Linked DNA regions of Oryzias latipes. The protein of the gene in region 1 purifies or fractionates together with the protein of each later gene. This does not show direct contact. Links are inferred from orthologs where the notes say so. Each region holds a gene or a part of one and is shown in the gene's direction. Other genes may lie near its edges. The genes, in order: tsen2, clp1 and tsen15.

Region 1 (6,072 bases):
GAAACACCAGTTCTACATGGTGGACCGACCGCAGGCAGCAGAACCCAGTAGCTAAAGTGGCCTGACCTTTGACCCAATGAAAACAGACCCACTAGACTAAGGGTGAATTCAGACTGGACACATTTGGTTTGTTTTAAGTGAACCAGATTTCATTCCTGGATAATCCGGAACAAATTTTCAGTCTGAATACACCCAGGTGGACCCTGGTCCAGGACCAGACACCGCTCTCTGACCCATCTTTGGAGGGGGTCTTGGTTCATTTCCAATCGGACCAAGCTTTGGTTTGCTCTGGGATTCCTCAGTCTGAATACAATCCGTCCTCTGAGCGGAACAACTGAACCAAAACAGCCCCCATAGCTGACGTAAACAGAGTAGGAATGAAGGAACCGATGAGCTGCGAAGAAATGTGAAGCAATGATTGTCATGTTATCAAAGAGGGAAAAAAAGAGTCCAACTGTTTACTTGTTACGTTTGTTTTAACTCAGCTGAAAATGCGTCTTACATGCTTTTCTGTGTGGTTACGCGGCATGCACCCGGCGGTGCTGTAACGTCACCATAAAAAATACCTTGTAATTCCTTAACAGAATTTACTTTAAAACTATGCCATGAAACCAGAACAATGAGACACAGCACTCATTGAAATTTGGTTGGATGTATGCAGGCTCATTAAAACACTTTTCAACGTGACACACATTGCTTCTTATACTGTTTTCCCAACAAGAACAAAGGATTTGAATCTGAATACACCCTTAGCGGTCACACTGACACAAGTTCTGAATGATATATTGCTTTCCAGCAGCAGTACGGATCAGAACAAATCAAAACTGGCTCATAAACCATTCAGTACATAAACTTTATTCTTTTAAAACGCACTTCTTAAACCAGAAGATTTTCACCCAGTTTGTCTCCATCTGCAGAGACGACACCCCGACATAAAACATAAAGTCGTAAACATAATTGGGATTTTTTTTTTTTCTCCAACATGTTTCTTTTTTATTGGTGTTTAAAACTAAATGTTGATGGATGTCTGTTTTATTTATTCGTTCAATGAAGCAATAACAAAACAAACATGTATCAGAACTGTGCAGATACAGTAAGTGTGGAGGGATTCCTCAGAGTGGTTTTATTGTTGCTAAAGATCATTTTGCCTTTTGTTTTGTTTTGTTTTTTCTTGTTTTTTTAATTTTATTTTGCACAATATTTAAACATTTATCTTGTATTGTTGTTCACCTTTCGGTTTATTGAAAATGAGCAGGATTTTTCTGCTCATTTTTATGTCTGACAAAACAACACAGGAGATAAAGACATGTATACACAAACATGAGCAGAAATGACAAAATACAAGTTCAAGCAAACACATGGCTGATTTAAAAGATTTCATGAGGCATTTATTAAGGCACAGTAAAATTTTCTTGAAGGATGTGCAAAATTGTCTGACCTCTGCTGGTTTATTAATGTGTAACATAGAGGATGGAACTAGTAATAATTTTACATTTTTGACAAATTCTGGAAATGAATATTTTTGTTTCAGTTTGGTGTGATGTATTACACTTATCCCATGTTCAGTGGAGCATTTATTGTTGTTTTTAAATTAGTTTGTGGTAAAAACTAAATAAAACCAACTAGGAAACCTGTATAGTTTCCTTTCAATTTCATTCATAGTCATTATTGTAGACAAGCAAACTTTAGGGAATCATGGACTGTTTGTATGTCGCTTTAAAGGTGGATTGTAGTTTACCTCCATGCCAATAGGTGGCTCTCTTGAGCAATTTTGTAAAAGTATGAGTAACTACAGAGAAAAAAATTCGAAAGGACCAGTTTGATTAGAGAGGACCCACGTGCACGGCAAAACCCACATTTATTCTGGTTCAGAAAACAGTACACAAATTTCCAGGTCAGAATCCCACAAAGAGGTCAGCCGTTTAGTAACGGGTCCACAGCAATGCAGGCCGACTTCCGCGCTCCCCGGCGGCGCGCGCGTGTTTACGAAGAACTGGAGGCTCCGCTGCCGGTCATCCGTAGTGCCGGGGAGAAGTGCGTGTACCGGGCTGAGCTCATCAACCAGCACGTGCTTGTCTGCCACCCCGACCATGTCAGGAAGATACACAACCAGGTCAGGGTTGCCAGTTCCGACTCACTGACAGCAAAGCAATCCTGCAAAATGTTACTGAAAAGATCCAGTGTAGATTATAGGATTTAGTTTAGAATGCCTTAATTACATGAATACTATTTTTGTTCGTTTAATGCCGTCGCACTGATACATTATAGGTGCATCTGCAGCAACAGTTAAATGTGCTGGACTCAGATAACTGTTAAAGCTGGGCGTAAATTTTGTATTTCTCTGATGAAAACAATCTATTGCATCCCGTCTTTCTTTTACCATAATAAATAATCAACGAGAGGACTTCATCATCATGCCAAATGATAATGATCAATAAATCAAAACTGATCAAATCAAACTGAATGTAAACCCTTTAGTTTCCTGGATGGAAAGCTCTTAAAACGGGAAGAAACATGTCAGTTTGTGTTTTCATTATTGTCTTCTTTCCCACCTTGGTCCTATGGTGACACTATTGCTGCTCTATGCCTCTGACTACAAGGACTAGCAGTGATGGAAAGAACCAAGTAAAAACTAAGGAGATTTACTTCAGTTTTATCTAACTAGGTTTGATTTTTCAGGGTTATTTTGGAAAAGGCATCTTGTCCAGAGCCAGACCAGATCACAGCATTTCAGAAAAATGGGAGGGTGAGTCTACACCTGCACCTGCATGAGATCATCATTGATCTGGTCTAACCCACACAGCTCTGTGCAGTCAGCTGGTTTGTTTGTCTTACAGATTTCGAAGATTTGTACCTTCCCGTTGTCTCTCAGGCCAGGTTAGCAGCATCTTGTTCTGTCTGGCTGATGACATCACTTCCTGCCTTACATTTCAGTCTTTTACAGGTATGAGGAACTACTTGGATGGGCAAAGGCAAGTCTGTGTGCTCAGGGAATGTCTGCAGAGGCTGTGGATCAAATATTTCACAAACTAACGCAGAAATTGGAGATAGAGGATGTGAAGAGTGAACTGAGGGAGGCTGAGGGGGCAAAGACTGAGGATGGAGTTTGTGACAACACAAAAAGTCTGGGAAGGGAATCTGAGGCGGAGCCTGAGGCCAAGAGACCATGCAGGTGAAGTGCTTGTTTCATCCATAGACATTTACTAAATGGACAGATAATCTCTGATGTCACCCAAATTCAAAACACCAAAATAGAGGTGAAATGGGTCTGCCAAGTTGACTGGAGTATGCTCTTCCCAGTCAAAAATGGCACAAGTTCTTTAAAACCAGAGGTGTCACAGACAACAGGAAATAACATGCTCTTTGACTTATTCTAACTCTTCAATCGTTTACGGAATTATTGAGAAAAGCAGCTTTGTGCTGATATGCAGCACTTCATTACTGAAAAGTGTTGCAAAGAATCAGCTTCAGTGTCAGAATCTGTTGGAATTCTGACATTCTGAATGGTCAAAGAGTTACTGTAATTCAAAGGGGAATCAACAAACACCGGAGCTAAAGCTCCAGTGTTGAAAGGTGAAACACTAATAAAATCAAAACAGCAAGCTGTCGAGAAGAGTTCATAAAGAAATAGAAAACAAAAAGGTTTTGTATTCAGCCTGTACATACACTCCCATTTTGGTGTGAAGTGGGATTTTCTTTTCCTCTCATTACTCTGGAGTGGGAAACCTTCCCTTCTCAACTTCTGTGCCGGTCCCAAGCCCGGTTGCTTTGAGAGGGTTGCGTCAGGAAGGGCATCCGGCGTAAAACATTGCCAGGTTTACCATGCGACTCGTTCGCTGTGGCGACCCCTGATGGGAAAAGCCGAGAGAGAAACAACAACAACTCTGGAGTTGGAAACTGCCCCTTTTATAAACCCAACTCTAGAGTTCATTTAAGGAACTATAACATTTTGATACCTCTTGGTATATTTTAAACTCAGAAACAAGACATGGGGGTTAACTTAACTGTGTTTTGTTTCAACACTCAGGTCGGACATACAGGACCTAAACTTTGACCAGAACTCTGAACCCAGTTTTGACTCCGATCAAGACTCTGAACCAGATCTTGGCTTTCAGGTTCCAGGTCCTGGTTTTGTGCTGGTAGTCTCTGAGAACCAGGCAAGTCCCTATATGAATCTGCATGTTGTTAAGTGTTTGATGAGCTGTTAATTAGGTTTGTGTTTCTACAGAATGAAGGTGGGGTTAGAGAAGTGAAGCGGAGCCCATTGTCTCTAACTGAGTACCTGCAGCTCAGCCTGGAGGAGGTAACCCACCTGGCACCTGCATCCACAGTTGGGACATTTAAGTGGCCTTCTCACCTTTATGTCCCTGAACTCTGCAGGCCTTCTTCCTTGTCTACAGCTTGGGCTGCTTATCTGTGTACCTGGACCAGGTGAGTTATGATTGTTTTGGCTGTTATATTTGTTGCATTGCTATATATGAAGAAGTAAACCCTGTTGTGCATTGTGGTTGGTCAGGAGCCACAGTCAGTCATTCAGCTGTGGCGAAGGTTTAGGTCTCTACGTCCGGACTTCACCAGCTCTTACGCTGCATATCATCATTTCCGAAGCAGGGGCTGGGTCCCCAAAGGAGGCAGCGGGGCCAAATATGGTGTGGACTTCAGTAAGATCACACACAGAGCTGAGACCTTTTACCTGTGTTTGTGAAAGAATTTTCCTCACACTGAGGGGACAAGAGAAGCTTGATAACTATAATGTGTTTTTTTGCAGTGCTTTACAGGAAGGGACCCCCTTTCTACCACGCCAGGTGACGCTCACACAGGTGACTTTACTCTGATCAGCCACGGTTTTATGAGTGTCTAATCATGCCTGTCCTCTGCCTGTAGTTACTCTGTGGTTGTAGAACAAACTGATGATGAGTTCAGGGGCTCAACTCTGCGTCCGTTTTCATGGCGTTCTTTTGCTGCCCTTAGCAGAATTACCGCCAGTGTCTCCAAGGTACAGATTCATCGGGAGGAGGTACACTTGGCCTGCCATGTCCCTCTGATTGGTTTTTATCTCACAGGAGCTGATGCTGTGTTACATCGTGTATCCTGGTGAGCTACTGAAGGAGGAGCTTGATTCACCTGTTTGCCTGAGCAAGCTGAAGGTTCAGGTGTGGAGCTGTGATGTTTGTTCAGCGTTGCTGCCAGTTTTCTAGTTTTAGCTATCTGCTGTTCCTCATCCCTCCCCATCTGGGTCTAGTTGGTTTGTAGATTTCACAGCTTTCTGTTTGTCTCCTTGGGCTCCAGAAATAAAACTGGAGCCCAGCACACCATATCAGTGAGCATGATCTTCTACATTTTGTCTCTACAGGAAGTCATCATTAGCAGGTGGGTTTCCTCCAAGGAGCGAGCCGAGCAAGATGACGACTGATTCAAATGAATTCGCAAAGAACAGTTTGGAGCCAATCAGGGACGTGGATCATATTGAGCTCATGAACTTTCTCGTGTGTGGAGTATATAGAATATGCCTTCTTCCTCAAACAGGAGTGGGAAGAAAAACAAGGAGAGAAATGTAGAAAAAATCTTATTTCCTTTCAAATATGATCAGAGCAACTATGACAAACTACAGAGAACGGAAATCATCTTTCATCAAATGAGGACTTAAAGGTTAGTAAGCCTGACAGCTTGAACACAAAGAAATATGACCACTCTCCTTTAGAAAAGGACAGACTGAAGGATGCTCCTCTCTGTATTGTAGTGTAAGTTTAAAATGAAGCAGAACAACCATGACTTTAAAATCTAACTCTTCTGAACAGTCTTCCTTCTCAAATATGCTGTTTTCAATCTAACATGGCTTCACATCTCTTAAATAGTGTGTACCTTTGTAAATACTGTAAAAAAAAACGATTTTTATTTTTGCTGAATTCCTGCAACCAAAAAAAGAAATGTAAAATATAAATATTATTTCAAAAGCGTATGTTTTATTTTTATTTGTGCATTGAAAAAAGGTTTTTCATATTTATTAAACATTTGTCGTTTTGGCTCAACCAGTAGAAACGGTATGGACACACCACTGTCCTTGTTAACCCT
Region 2 (6,281 bases), on another chromosome or scaffold:
ATATCTTATTCTCATATATGGTGTAAAATGGGCCATTCATCATTGCTAATAAAATCATCAGATTTCTTTAAAAAAATGTATATGTAAAGTTATGTTTAAGTGTAAAAAGGAATTTACCCTATTTTTTCCACAGGTCCATCTGTTAAACTGTTCTTCCCTCTGGCCTGTCATAATGGTTATTAGTCTTTTTATGGGAGTGATACCTGATATATTTCAATTTTACTCCAATAAGTCCAAATTGTAAGATATGGCAGTAGTTAATTTTTTACATCCAGCCATGACAAGTATAAATTAAAGTATGGGTATGCTAATTTTGAACACGGATGAATATATTTCCTTAAAAAGGGTCTGATTCTGCCCAGACACAGTTAAGACCAGGGGCCTCATTTATAAAACTTTGCGTAGGATTTGCGTCAGAAGTGGCGTACGGATGAAACATAGGACGTGCGTACGCACAGAAATATTCGGAGTTATAAAACCGTGCGCACGCACATCCTACGCATCTTTCCCTTAATAAATCACAACCGATTCTAAATGCTGCGCAGCTTTTGCGGCTACATGACACGCCCATAGTTGCCCATAAATAGTCCGTGAAACGCCCACAAATGAATATTCATTGATTGCGAAACCATGCCAAACACGGAGAGAAAATCAAAAAAACGTAACTTCACTCAATGTGAAGTAGAAGTTATCGTTGGCGAGGTGGAAAAGAGGAGAATAATGTTGTTTGGAGGGCACAGTGTGGGCATTACTAATGCCAAAAAGGCACGTGAGTGGCAAACGGCGGCAGACGCCGAAAATGCTGCAGCCTCACAACCTCGGACCGTGCCCGAAATAAAAAAGAAAAGGTCGGACATCAAAGTCGAGGCAAAAAAACGTCTAGCGCTGAACCCCCCCCCCCCCACACACACACACACACCCGTGTCTGCCACGAGTGTGTGTGTGTGTGTGGGGGGGGGGGGGGACACCGGAGCTGACCCCTCCTGATGAGAGACTGGCGGCAATAATTGGGGAATCCCTTTTAAGTGGAGTGGTGACTGAGGCGGAGGGGGACACCCACGCGCCAGATGCACCGGGTGACACACCCCCAAAAGCCCGCAGAGGAAGTCGGAACCGGCTCATAAGCCACTCGTCCTCGTTTGCCAGCAAGTCTCCTTGCTGTCTAAAGATGCGTTCACTCCGAATTCTTCCATTTGCCACATCTTCTAAGAGAGCAAGATCAGCCATTGTGCGTCATTACGCATTGTGATGGGGCATTTTATTTCCCTCCATTTAATTACATCTGACAAGCTACAGATGTCGGGAATAATCGACGTGGAAATGGGAAATTGTTCAGCGCAAATGTAATTTCTTGTTGCTTTCTGAATGGTCGAGACAAACGCCATACATTGTTTCATGAAAAATAAAACAAAATAAAGGCATATGCATGAATACCATAATTCTGTAGCTTATGAAGAAATATTTTACTATGAAAACAACTTTCCCCAGTGGAGAATTAATGCATCTCTCTCTATCTATCCATCTGTCTGTCTGATTGCTCCTATATCTGCTCCGCCAGACGGACACATTGACGGGAATATCAGTTGTGTACATTATTTCGTTCTGTTAACTATATTATTTATATTATTTATGAGGATGAATTGCACAACATGCCAATATTGCAGAACATATTTCACTTTTCTTTTTGCAAATATGTGCTCATTTGAATTTCTGTTGTAATTTTTGTTTGATTTTTTTGTTTGTTTCACTGCTGATCGATCAAACGGGTGTTCGTGTAGGCTGTTAATTGTAAGACTTGCTTTGTGAAGTCTTCATGTTATTTATCAGAGGCAGTATTGTCATTTTCACTTTCACGTGTTTCTTCCATCTGCCGACGGCGTCGCCGTTTCTCATTTCATCCGTTTTTGTGCGTACGCCTGGGTCAGAGCTTGCGTGAAGGACCGCACATTTTCCCGTCAAGTTTGCTTTTTATAAATCTCAACTATTGCGTAGAGAGTGGCGTACGCCTTCTTTTGTGCGTACGCAACGTTTATAAATGAGGCCCCTGGAATCAAAACAGAATCAGTTTATAGAAAAATCACGAAATATAAATCACAACCACGAGGGGGCAGCAATGCAGCGAGCGAGAACGCTGTTCTTTCTTACTATTGGTTGCTAGAGTCTTGACGTCATCATCCTGCGACGAACATCTCACTGGGTACACAATTTTTTGGTTCTGTGCTTAAGCTTTGTATATATCAGTATAAGGACGCGAATTATACAGTTTTGTATTCATTAAGCAAATTTGAAGACATTTAGGTGATCTCTGTTATTATTTATATTTGTTCGACATAAAACCCCACATTTCTTCCTTTCCTGCTAATCATCAGTTAGCTTGCCTTGTCGTGTGTTGTTTGACCATTTATTAATTAATGTTGCATTTACCTTTAACTTAACGATATTGTTGTTTTACATGTTGCACCCTGTTATGATTATATAACACCGTTTCTTTCTACAGCGATGGCAACAGAGTCTGTAGAAAAAACTAGCGACGATGCTCCGGCTAACGGCAAAGATTGCACCCGATTCGACTTGGAGAAGGAGACCGAGCTTCGGTTTGAGGTGGAAGCAGGAGAGGCCGCGGAGCAAGTGGAGCTGGAACTCCTGTCGGGACTGGCTGAAGTGTTCGGTTCAGAACTGAACCGCAACAAGAAGTACGTGTTTGGACCAGGATCCAAAATAGCTGTTTTCACCTGGCAAGGATGCAGTGTGAATCTTCATGGAAAGCCAGAGGTGAGTTTAGGATGAAATAAATAATCAGTCTTTTCTGTCCAGTTCTCCATATTAACTTCGAAACATCACCTATTATTTTTTTTTTAACCTCAGGTGGCCTATGTGTCTAAAGATACTCCCATGCTGCTCTACCTGAACACCCACGCTGCCCTGGAACAGATGAGAAAACAAGCAGAACGGGAAAATGAGAGGGGACCAAGGGTGAGGAGCAGCCAGATGGCTAAAATCCCCCCCTATAAATGTAACTTCTCTGTATATTTTGTATTACAAATACATATTTGCTGGCTTTCCAGGTGATGGTGGTGGGTCCCACAGATGTAGGGAAGTCAACAGTGTGTCGAATGCTTCTCAACTACGCTGTCAGGGTTGGCAGGAGACCAACCCTTGTGGAACTGGATGTTGGACAAAGTGGTGTAAGTACATTTAAAGTTGCACAACTTTAAATGTTTTAACCTCGCTACTATAGTCCAGGGAATGGTGTTAGATAGTATAAGACAAGTTGTGCAGACCTAATCTTTATAGTTTTTAAAGTTTTCCCAATGTAAATGGTTTAAATTAAGAAACAAAGCTTGTTATCACTTGTTAGTTCTGAAAATTAATCGTCTTGTCCTCTGTTATCCATAATGCTAAGTAGTATTTGGTTTCATTTATTCATATAAAAAAACTGCATATTTTCAGTGATAAATCAAAAATGTGTGTTTGAGATATTTGTACATCAATGACTAATTTCAATGTTTTCTAGGCATCATCTTTGAATGTCAAGGAGTTACCAAAACACTAGTCACAATCTTGTTGCTCATTGGTCTTTTTTTTCTTTCTTTCTTTTTTTTTTAGCTATTGTACTTCTAAGATGGTTGAACTGTTACTTGTTGTAACATGTGTTTCTGTATAATGACTTGCTGCAAGTACATTTGTTAGTTTTTTTTTTGTTTCCTGTTACAAAAAGTACATTATTTTATTTGTAGGATGCAGATTATTTGTCTTTGTAAACCTGCAATGTAAATGTTGAACAGTTCAGATTTCATTGTGTAATGAATTTACAGTAAGGTGTGACTAAACTTTGTTCTCTCTTAGGTGTCAGTACCAGGGACGGTGTCAGCGCTGTGCATTGAACGGCCGGCGGATGTGGAGGAGGGCTTCTCTGTCCAGGCTCCTCTGGTCTACCACTTTGGCTCCACCACTCCAGGCACCAACATTAAACTTTATAACAAGGTTAGAAGATTGTAGATATACAGTCATTTTATGTTTGTCATTGGCTGTCATCATTTATGCTGTTATTTTCTACTGCTTTTGTGTTTTTATCACTGTGGTTAGCTGACATCCTGCCTCGCTGAGATGTTTTCCCAGCGCTGTGAGGTAAACAGGAAGGCCAGCGTAGGAGGCTGCATCATCAACACCTGCGGCTGGGTGAAGGGTTCAGGATACCAGGCTTTGGTCCACTGTGCCTCCACCTTTCAGGTGGATGTGGTGCTGGTTTTGGACCACGAAAGGCTCTACAATGAGCTTAAACGCGACCTGCCCCACTTTGTGCGAGTTGTACTTCTGCCCAAGTCTGGGGGGGTGGTGGAGCGCTCCAAAGAGTGCCGGCGGGACACCAGGGATGAAAAGATCCGCGAGTATTTCTATGGATTCCGTGGAGTGTCCTACTACCCCTTTTCCTATGAGGTGCGCTTCTCTGACGTCCGCATTTACAAAATTGGTGCACCGTCTATCCCAGACTCGTGCTTACCTCTAGGGATGTCTCAGGACGATACGCAGCTAAAGCTGGTGCCTGTCACACCAGGGAGAGACCTGACGTACCATGTTCTGAGCGTGAGCAGCGTTGACGACGGAGACGAAGGTGCAAGAAAGAGCATTGTGGAGATTCCTGTGTGTGGTTTTATTGTGGTAACTTTTGTTGACACTCAGACACAGGTGATGAAAGTGTTATCCCCAGCACCCAGACCTCTCCCCAGACACACTCTGCTTATCATGGACATACGCTTTATGGACATGAAGTAATGCAGAACATACTTGAAGTGAGGAGAGATGGGTGCATTTGTTTAAAAGTTTTTGGTGTTTTGTAAAAAACCTCTGTAACAAAGTACCTCAGCAATTTGTTGTAAATGATGACATATTTTTAAACTTTTATGTACAAATGCAAAATCTGTCATGTCATTTTTTTCAGTTCCTTAAATAAAAAAAGTATTCTTTGTTATGGAAAGAAAAAAAGTATCTTTTGTATTTATTTTCGTTTAAAAGAACAAAGATTTAGCATTCATTGTTTAGTGTGTGGTTAATCTGAGTCATTTTTCTATGTTTATCCAGAAATTGTCAAGATTTTCTTAGAAACTGTCATTCCTTTTTTTTTCTTCGTTTACCTTGCGTCAGGTGCAAAATATTAGAAAACGAATCCTTGCAAAACTTCTCCTTTTATGATTAGTTTTCAAAATGTAGACTTAATAGTGCACTAATGTTAAAAAATTCAATTGTAAAAACTACGTAATGTAAGTTTAAAAAATTCTGAATTTTCCAATGGGAGCAACCAGCAACCACCCTTAAATCAAAAATAATGGACATTTTACATTTTAAAGTACTATAACAGACATTTTAGTACCTTTCTGACAGTTTAAAACAAGTAAAAGTGTTTAAATTAGAAGTTTGTCATACTTTTCAGTGAAAAAGTGAATGTCTAAAGTTTTGAAGTATGAATTAAAATAGGTTATGGAATATATTCCTAAATCATCTGTTTGGTGAAAAGGTGGCCTAAATTTCTTAGTGAAATGTCTGCTGGGAAACTTCAGTCCAATAAGTCAATTTTCTCAAGTTTTGTTACGCGAGACTTAATTCCACCACAACTTTTCTCTTCAAACTTGGATATAGTGCAAAAACTCTTACATTTTGCACAAAAACCAAACTTTATATTTACATAACTTCTATGATACTAAAATTAACAATGTAAATCCATTACTTGACGATAAAGAAGAATGGTAGACATATAATCATTTCATAGTTAAAAACACAGTTGTACCTCAAAAAAAGTTAGAGCTGGTTTTACATGAAGTCCACATTGTTGACATTAATTGATATGAAGTGTACAAACCGGTTTATTAGTACTCAGAGAACTGCAAATACTGTAACCAATGTAAACAGAGCCCTTAAGAAAAAGTTAATGGAATACAATCTTTTTATAACCTTATAGGTAGTCAAAGAATTAAAAATTAGATATTATCCAGTAAAGATTATTTTTGTCGATTTTTCCCTGTTTGTTAAAGTAAAAAAAAAAGCTCTTTCTGTCAGTGACATGGAGAACGGCTATAACATCTTTTTGTGGATTATTCTTTTGTCTTTATAATTTGGAAGGATCTACAACATACCTTAGAGCAGGGGTGTCAAACTCATTTTCACTGAGGGCCACTTCAGCATAGTGGTTGTCCTCAAAGGGCCAGATATGACTTATACGTGAAACTAAATGTAATGAAAAATAAATGTAACTACTCCTTAATGTAAAAAAAATCATGACTTATTTA
Region 3 (6,098 bases), on another chromosome or scaffold:
TGATTTTTATCGCATTTTGCGCCCAGAGTCCACCTTAGACTAATCCAGGTTTGAGCAGTCCAGATCCAGCGGTTTTTGAACAGGACCCGGTTTTAGGTCATCTTAATGCGAAAAATGCAGCGGAATGTTCCTTTAGTGCCTTCGCGAATACTCATCACCACACTCGCTTAATCTTAGATATATTAGATTACAACCAAATTATTCCCCAGGAAAGTCTTATCCTATTTTTTAAGGCCTTCGACTCATTAGAATATATGGTACCTATTGTTCTCAATAAAATACTTTCTTTTTCAAGTGCATCTGGCCTTACCCTAAATCTAAAAGAAATGTGAAATTTTACCTATACATACCTGCAATGCAGGTAATATTGAAAACATACATGTAAAAAGTGAAGTGAAATATTTTGGTCTAATAATAACAAAAAACAGTAACGATAGAGAAAGTGTAAATATTACTCCCAGACTAAAAACAATATAGAAAACATGAAATCATTGGTTGGGACTTGGCTTATCAATATTTGGCCGCATTCTATTATCCAAAGCGGAGGTTTTTTCAAGACTTGTGTATCCCTGCCACTCATCATGTACATCCCCAAAAAACATCAAGTTGTCTAATTCTATTCTCCTTAAATCTATTTGGAAAAATAAGACTCACTATATATGAAAACCAAAACTGGTCAGAGATTATAAAAATGGCGGCTTAAAAGCTTTAGACCTTAAATCACAAATTGTAGCGTTTAGAATGAAATGGTTAAAAGATTGTATTTCCCAGCCTCATTCTATGTGGTATCATATCCCAAACAAACTCTTTGAGAAAGTCAGGGGACTGGAGTTTTTGTTGAAATGCGATTATAATCTATCAAAAATGCCAATGAAACCATCAAACTTTTACAAGCATGCCTTAGAATTTGGGAAGATGCTTTTCACTCATAACTTCTTCCCTCACAACACTGTTTTATGGAAAAACAGATTTATAACTGTAAACAAGAAATCCTTGTTTATGTCTGAATGGTATGATAATGGTGTGTGATTTGTCTATGACTTGATGCGCACTGATGGAAGGCTGTTATCATACAATGAGTTTGTAACTAAATACAAAATGAAGGATTCTAGTAACTGTTATAACAAAGTCTGTAAAGCAATTCCCACACCTTCACTCAATCTTATTCATAACATACTACAATACAATGCAACCAAACCACAATTTTTAGAGCGGAAAATTAATGATATTCCCCTAAAAGATAAAAAAAATGCCACAATAAATTAGTAACTCTTTTCTTTATACACAAAGTACCCACATCCACCTAAAATGAAAGAAACGCATTTTAAAATAATATCTAAAATTTACCCTGTTGGAGATTTTTTACATAAAAGATTTAAATTTCAATCGGAACCATGCATGTTCTGTTCATCTGAAACTGAAACGTTAGAATATCTCTTTTACAGTTGCAACCAGATAAAAATATGTTGGACTGATTTTCACAATTGGTTACACAAAGTTTTAATGATTCTCTTTTTTCCTTACCTGATGTTTTTTTCTGTACGGAAAATCTGGACCCGGGAATTTCTGATGTCATCAATGTTGTTATTATTCTATGCAAACATTTCATTAATTTATGGAAATGGTAAAATACATGTCCTTTGTTTAGTATTTTTTTGAATTATTTTTCTGAATATTAGAAGTGTCTTAAATGCATTCCAAACAAAAACAAGAAAACTCCAGTAATTTATCAAAATATAACAAAAGTATTGTTATTTTGAATTGTTTTTTGCCTTGCCTTTGCCTGTTTTTTGTTTTGTTTTTCTACATGCGCATTTATTGCGTTTGAGCGCCCTAACTTGGTTTGTATATGACCATTTATAGAAAAAACACACACACACACAGGGCTTAAACTATTATTGTTGTTTGGTCTTATATGTGTTTTTGATATTAACAATTGTTTCTTTATCGTGCTGCTGAATGTGAATTTCTACAAATTGAAAAACGTATAATAACGTTTATTGAAATAAAAAGGTCCTCCACGCCTCATTGGGGTGCGGAACATAAAGGAAGGAGCGTGTTCCCATCCGGTCGACATTTATTGTAGTACCCATTAAAAATTAAAGCTCAACCTTCCTAGCGAAAACGTGCGGTTATAGTAGTGCGCAAGTAGTTGTATTAAAGGATAAACACTGAAAGATGTCAGTACCTCCGGTGGAGAAAGCTCCACCCGCGAACTGGATCCTGCAGCACCCTGCGGTGAGCGGCCTGGAGCTTGGAGTAACGTGACCGTGAAGGTTCGCTGTGAGCGGAACTAACGGCGGCCTGCCTGTGTTTCAGTACCGGCAGATGGAGGCTCTGGAGCCCGCAGACAGCGCGCAGCTGCACGCTGCCTTTCTGGTGTGCATGGATCTGACTGAGGGTGATGTGATGAAGCCTGGATATGTTTCATTAAATATAAAGGGAGCTTAAATACGTACAAAGATAACAAAGTACAGAAGTGGCTATTAACAAGTTTTAATTTAAGTTTAAAATGCATTAGAATGACTGTGGATTTTGCTTGTATTCCTTCAAACATTTCTAAGTAGCTTCAATTCAAATTTTGAATGAAACCCTGTGATGTTTACAATGTTTTAAATAAGCTGATTTTTCTTCTGTAAAAAGTAATTTTGTATTTAGTTGTACATCTAATTGGTTCAAAAATCCCAAATCATGTTTGTAGATTAAAAAAAGTTAATTTTCATGTAATTTAAACCTTTTTTTTTATTCAGATTTTTTTCACATGTGTATACTTTATTTTTTTGTTACTTTTTTGAATTATTTTTCTGATTATTAATAATAATATATTAGTGTCTTAAATGCATTCCAAACAAAAACAAGAAAACTACAGTAATTTATCAAAATATATCAAAATTCAGTTAATTTTCATTTAATTTAAACTTTTTTTTATTCAGATTTTTAAAATCTGAATAAAATAAAATAAAGTAAAAGGTGTCAAACTATAAAAAGTGAATTTGGTTTCACATAGTGCGTCGCTGGAAGGAGGTGTCGTCCGTCAAAAGTCCGGAGCTGCGATTAATCTTGCTGGAAGGGAAGGAGAAGGATGGGGCCCCGGTTCACACTGTCCTCCCCCTGCCCGCTCATCAGTCCTTGAGCCACAGCAGGTGATGAGTCACCAAATGAGAGTTGGGACTTGAACCGTCGCTCACGGGTTTGTGACATGCAGCTGTTTGTCTCCTGAGCAGCATCTGCAGCGTACTGGACAGGGGCTTCCCCGTACTTTTGTGTGCCGTGGCATCGGACTCCACCCTGGTCTATCAGAGGCTGACGGATGGGCTGGTGACCCCGGAGCCCCCTGTGGGCCCCTTTCAGGATTTGGATCGACGGCAGCATCGCAAGAGGCGACAGCACAGCTTCCAGCAGCACAGTGAGAAGATGAGGGGTAAAAGGTGAAGAAGTTGTTTTTTACCTGACGGGCTACTGGCTGCCATCAACGTATGTTTTGAAACGGAGCTGATGGGTTCATCCTGGAGCAATGTGAATCATTCTAGGGGTACATATGTGGAAGCATTTCCACCGTGGACTGAAAGACCTACATCGATCCCTAAAATGGACACCGCAGACTTCTCTCCCACAGAGCTGCTATTTTATTCAGAGTAGTCAAAAACCAAAGTCATTTTGCCGTTTACCGATGTCAGCGAACGCATCTTCACCAGCCTGTTTGTGAAGCACGTCGATCACTTCTGTTGCCATGACAGTGTTTTTCCAGGATTCTGATGAGCAGAAAGCCAAAACTTTTGGAGTCCAGTGCCTGCGGTTCTGATGAGAAGATTCGTTTTTGCTGTTTGGAATTAAACTCCACTCTGATGTAAAAAAAAAAAAAAGTAAACAGTTTGTTTGACTTGAATACTGTCTCCCTAATTCTTTTAGTAGAAAACAAAACCGTATCCATAAAAAAGGAAAACGAAACCTGCAGACTTAAAAGATAAAGCTTTACAAAGCCCTGACTGGCAGCATTGATCAACCTCTCAGGCAGAAATGATCTAAACCAGCTGTGATCCGTAAATGCACACTTCCCTTCAGTTTTCCCTTTCTGTATTTGTTAATTATGAGGATGCAGATAAGAAAATAACTTTTTGATTCTCAGAGTGGACATCAAGGCCTCAATCGTGTATTTAAATTGCAGAACACCGATGGGGAAAAGGGAGCCAAAGGTTCTAAATCTTTTCTAAGTGCCTCAAAAACGTTGCTTTCCAGTCAAAGAAAAACCAAACTGTAGGTCTTAGTGATGATGGATGGGGCAGAGAAGGTTCTGCTGCAGTCTGGGCTTCTGTCAGTTAAAACCCCTCCATGGTTTGTAGAAAGCTGTGCAATCTGCACATGCACATCTGTCAGAGTTTATCAAGAAAGCTTGTGCAAAGTGTCCAAGAAAGAAACTGTTCTGCTCTTTCTCATATAAGGAAGGCTTTTATTTAGTCATACATGCCTGTAGACAAAATGGCTTTGTGTGTATATATATATATTTATATATATATATATATATATTTGGGTGGGGGCAGTTCAACAGCCTCACTAAACAACGCACATGTTTCAGAACATTTCTGAAAGGGATACGAGTCAAAATCATTCAAAAACTCTGACTTCTGTTTGAAGGAAAAACAACAGCGTCAGCCTGAGGGACAAAAACTGAAACTACTTTTATTCTTCTAGAAAACGGAGGCGGATCTACATTAAAACAGATTACAATAATGAGACACAGGCGGATGAAAGATGTCCAAATGTAGGAATTTGGAAAAACAAAAGCTATTAATAAAAAGCTTTTCATTGCTTTTTGCACAAATATGAATTGTATCCACTGAAGGAGCTCATTTTGATATCAAGTCCTGCCACAGACTGGGCTCGGCCGGGGGTATGTTCACCATGGAGGGCCATCTTCATTTTCCTCAAACCAGTTTGAGAAAACTTGAGCATTGCGGTGGTATGCTTCTGGAGTTTCTGTTTTTGGTTGTGGATTGTTTTTTCCAGCTCCCCTGTCATCCTTAATGTGTTTTCCGTTTCGCTAAATGCACCACGTCCTCTTAAGGTGGCTGCAGGCAGGCGGGCAATTTCAGCAGCTAGACTCTGCTGGGCTGACGTCATGCTGCTGTGATGGCTGTGGTATGTGGGTTTACATCAGCCTGCTGAGATACACAAAGCCTTTCCTGAAATAGACTTCATCTGGAGGAGGACGTTTGTTCCCCCCCGCCCCCCTAACAGCCTGGAGGATGTGGCGTGTGTGATTAGTAGCAAACATGACAAACTTTCCCTCGCCATAGAGCCCTTTGCAATTTCCAAATAGTCTGTTTTGGATGAGGTTTGGCCTACAGGCCCCTCTGTAAATGGGTTTGAATGTGGCGTCCTTGTTGTACGATAAAGCTATAGTCGGCATCAGCAGATGAAGCCGTGTTTAGTCAAATTTGAGTTAAGCTCATCTTTTAAAATATTTGTCTCTGTTAATAAAATCCTGACTTTTGTTGTCTGAAAGTGCTTTATATTTCATTTCAATCTAAAAAAAACTTCTCCAGAATTCCTACAGTTTGCACAGAAGCAGACTAGTATGTGTCGTGGCAGTGGAACAGGAAGTCAGCCTTCTGCCGTCTTTGACAGCTTCGGCGTCCCAGTGAGTGTGCATTTTTAATGGCTACAAAGTGTCTTAATGAGAGGAAGGACTGCGGGAGACAGATATTACAACACTTAAACCCTGAGCCTTATTTAACATAAATACAGACGTGGACAGACAGGCGCGTGGTACCGGCCCACATGGAGGTTTGGACTCCTTATCTCAAAGAAGGGTTTCATCCGTGTTGTTTTCCCTATAAATCCAAGCACTGGAGGACTGGGTTTTCCATAAAGCAGGAGATGAACACTGGCTACAGTCTGCATGTTCGTGTAGCTTCCGTGTTTCATGTATGCTGCTGGTTTTCCCAGCAGTAGAATGAGACGAGGGTTTGTGCTCAGAATCGGTCACCACTGACCACATTGAGTCTCCAGCAGCGATCAGACGGACGGGCTTTGAGGAGGACCAAAAAAAAAAAAAAAAGGGTTGGAGAGTCTCCCCGAGTGCGGAGCTGCACTCCACG

Evidence for each region.
Region 2: the proteins of tsen2 (region 1) and clp1 purify together in Homo sapiens (affinity purification with mass spectrometry; 3 studies listed by BioGRID and IntAct, counting the BioPlex papers as one, with this or other methods). This does not show direct contact. The link is inferred for Oryzias latipes from reciprocal best matches to the Homo sapiens genes TSEN2 and CLP1.
Region 3: the proteins of tsen2 (region 1) and tsen15 purify together in Homo sapiens (affinity purification with mass spectrometry; 4 studies listed by BioGRID and IntAct, counting the BioPlex papers as one, with this or other methods). This does not show direct contact. The link is inferred for Oryzias latipes from reciprocal best matches to the Homo sapiens genes TSEN2 and TSEN15.

The regions. Positions count from the first base shown.
Region 1 is NC_019863.2:19,268,969-19,275,040, forward strand, and holds tsen2 (tRNA-splicing endonuclease subunit Sen2), read left to right. Parts: upstream 1-1,770; 5' UTR 1,771-1,942; coding exon 1,943-2,113; intron 2,114-2,679; coding exon 2,680-2,746; intron 2,747-2,837; coding exon 2,838-2,877; intron 2,878-2,944; coding exon 2,945-3,172; intron 3,173-4,027; coding exon 4,028-4,157; intron 4,158-4,228; coding exon 4,229-4,303; intron 4,304-4,380; coding exon 4,381-4,431; intron 4,432-4,516; coding exon 4,517-4,661; intron 4,662-4,768; coding exon 4,769-4,805; intron 4,806-4,884; coding exon 4,885-4,996; intron 4,997-5,063; coding exon 5,064-5,153; intron 5,154-5,353; coding exon 5,354-5,413; 3' UTR 5,414-5,950; downstream 5,951-6,072. Other genes in the region: mkrn2os (MKRN2 opposite strand protein), read left to right, coding at 1-55.
Region 2 is NC_019868.2:14,102,648-14,108,928, reverse strand, and holds clp1 (polyribonucleotide 5'-hydroxyl-kinase Clp1), read left to right. Parts: upstream 1-2,107; 5' UTR 2,108-2,197; intron 2,198-2,205; exon of another isoform or gene 2,206-2,298; intron 2,299-2,497; 5' UTR 2,498-2,499; coding exon 2,500-2,772; intron 2,773-2,865; coding exon 2,866-2,973; intron 2,974-3,065; coding exon 3,066-3,185; intron 3,186-3,846; coding exon 3,847-3,984; intron 3,985-4,086; coding exon 4,087-4,773; 3' UTR 4,774-4,917; downstream 4,918-6,281. UniProt on the Homo sapiens protein: Polynucleotide kinase that can phosphorylate the 5'-hydroxyl groups of double-stranded RNA (dsRNA), single-stranded RNA (ssRNA), double-stranded DNA (dsDNA) and double-stranded DNA:RNA hybrids. dsRNA is phosphorylated more efficiently than dsDNA, and the RNA component of a DNA:RNA hybrid is phosphorylated more efficiently than the DNA component.
Region 3 is NC_019875.2:13,672,399-13,678,496, reverse strand, and holds the start of tsen15 (tRNA-splicing endonuclease subunit Sen15), read left to right. Parts: upstream 1-2,060; 5' UTR 2,061-2,178; coding exon 2,179-2,238; intron 2,239-2,319; coding exon 2,320-2,401; intron 2,402-3,007; coding exon 3,008-3,143; intron 3,144-3,224; coding exon 3,225-3,428; intron 3,429-4,651; exon of another isoform or gene 4,652-6,098. UniProt on the Homo sapiens protein: Non-catalytic subunit of the tRNA-splicing endonuclease complex, a complex responsible for identification and cleavage of the splice sites in pre-tRNA. It cleaves pre-tRNA at the 5' and 3' splice sites to release the intron.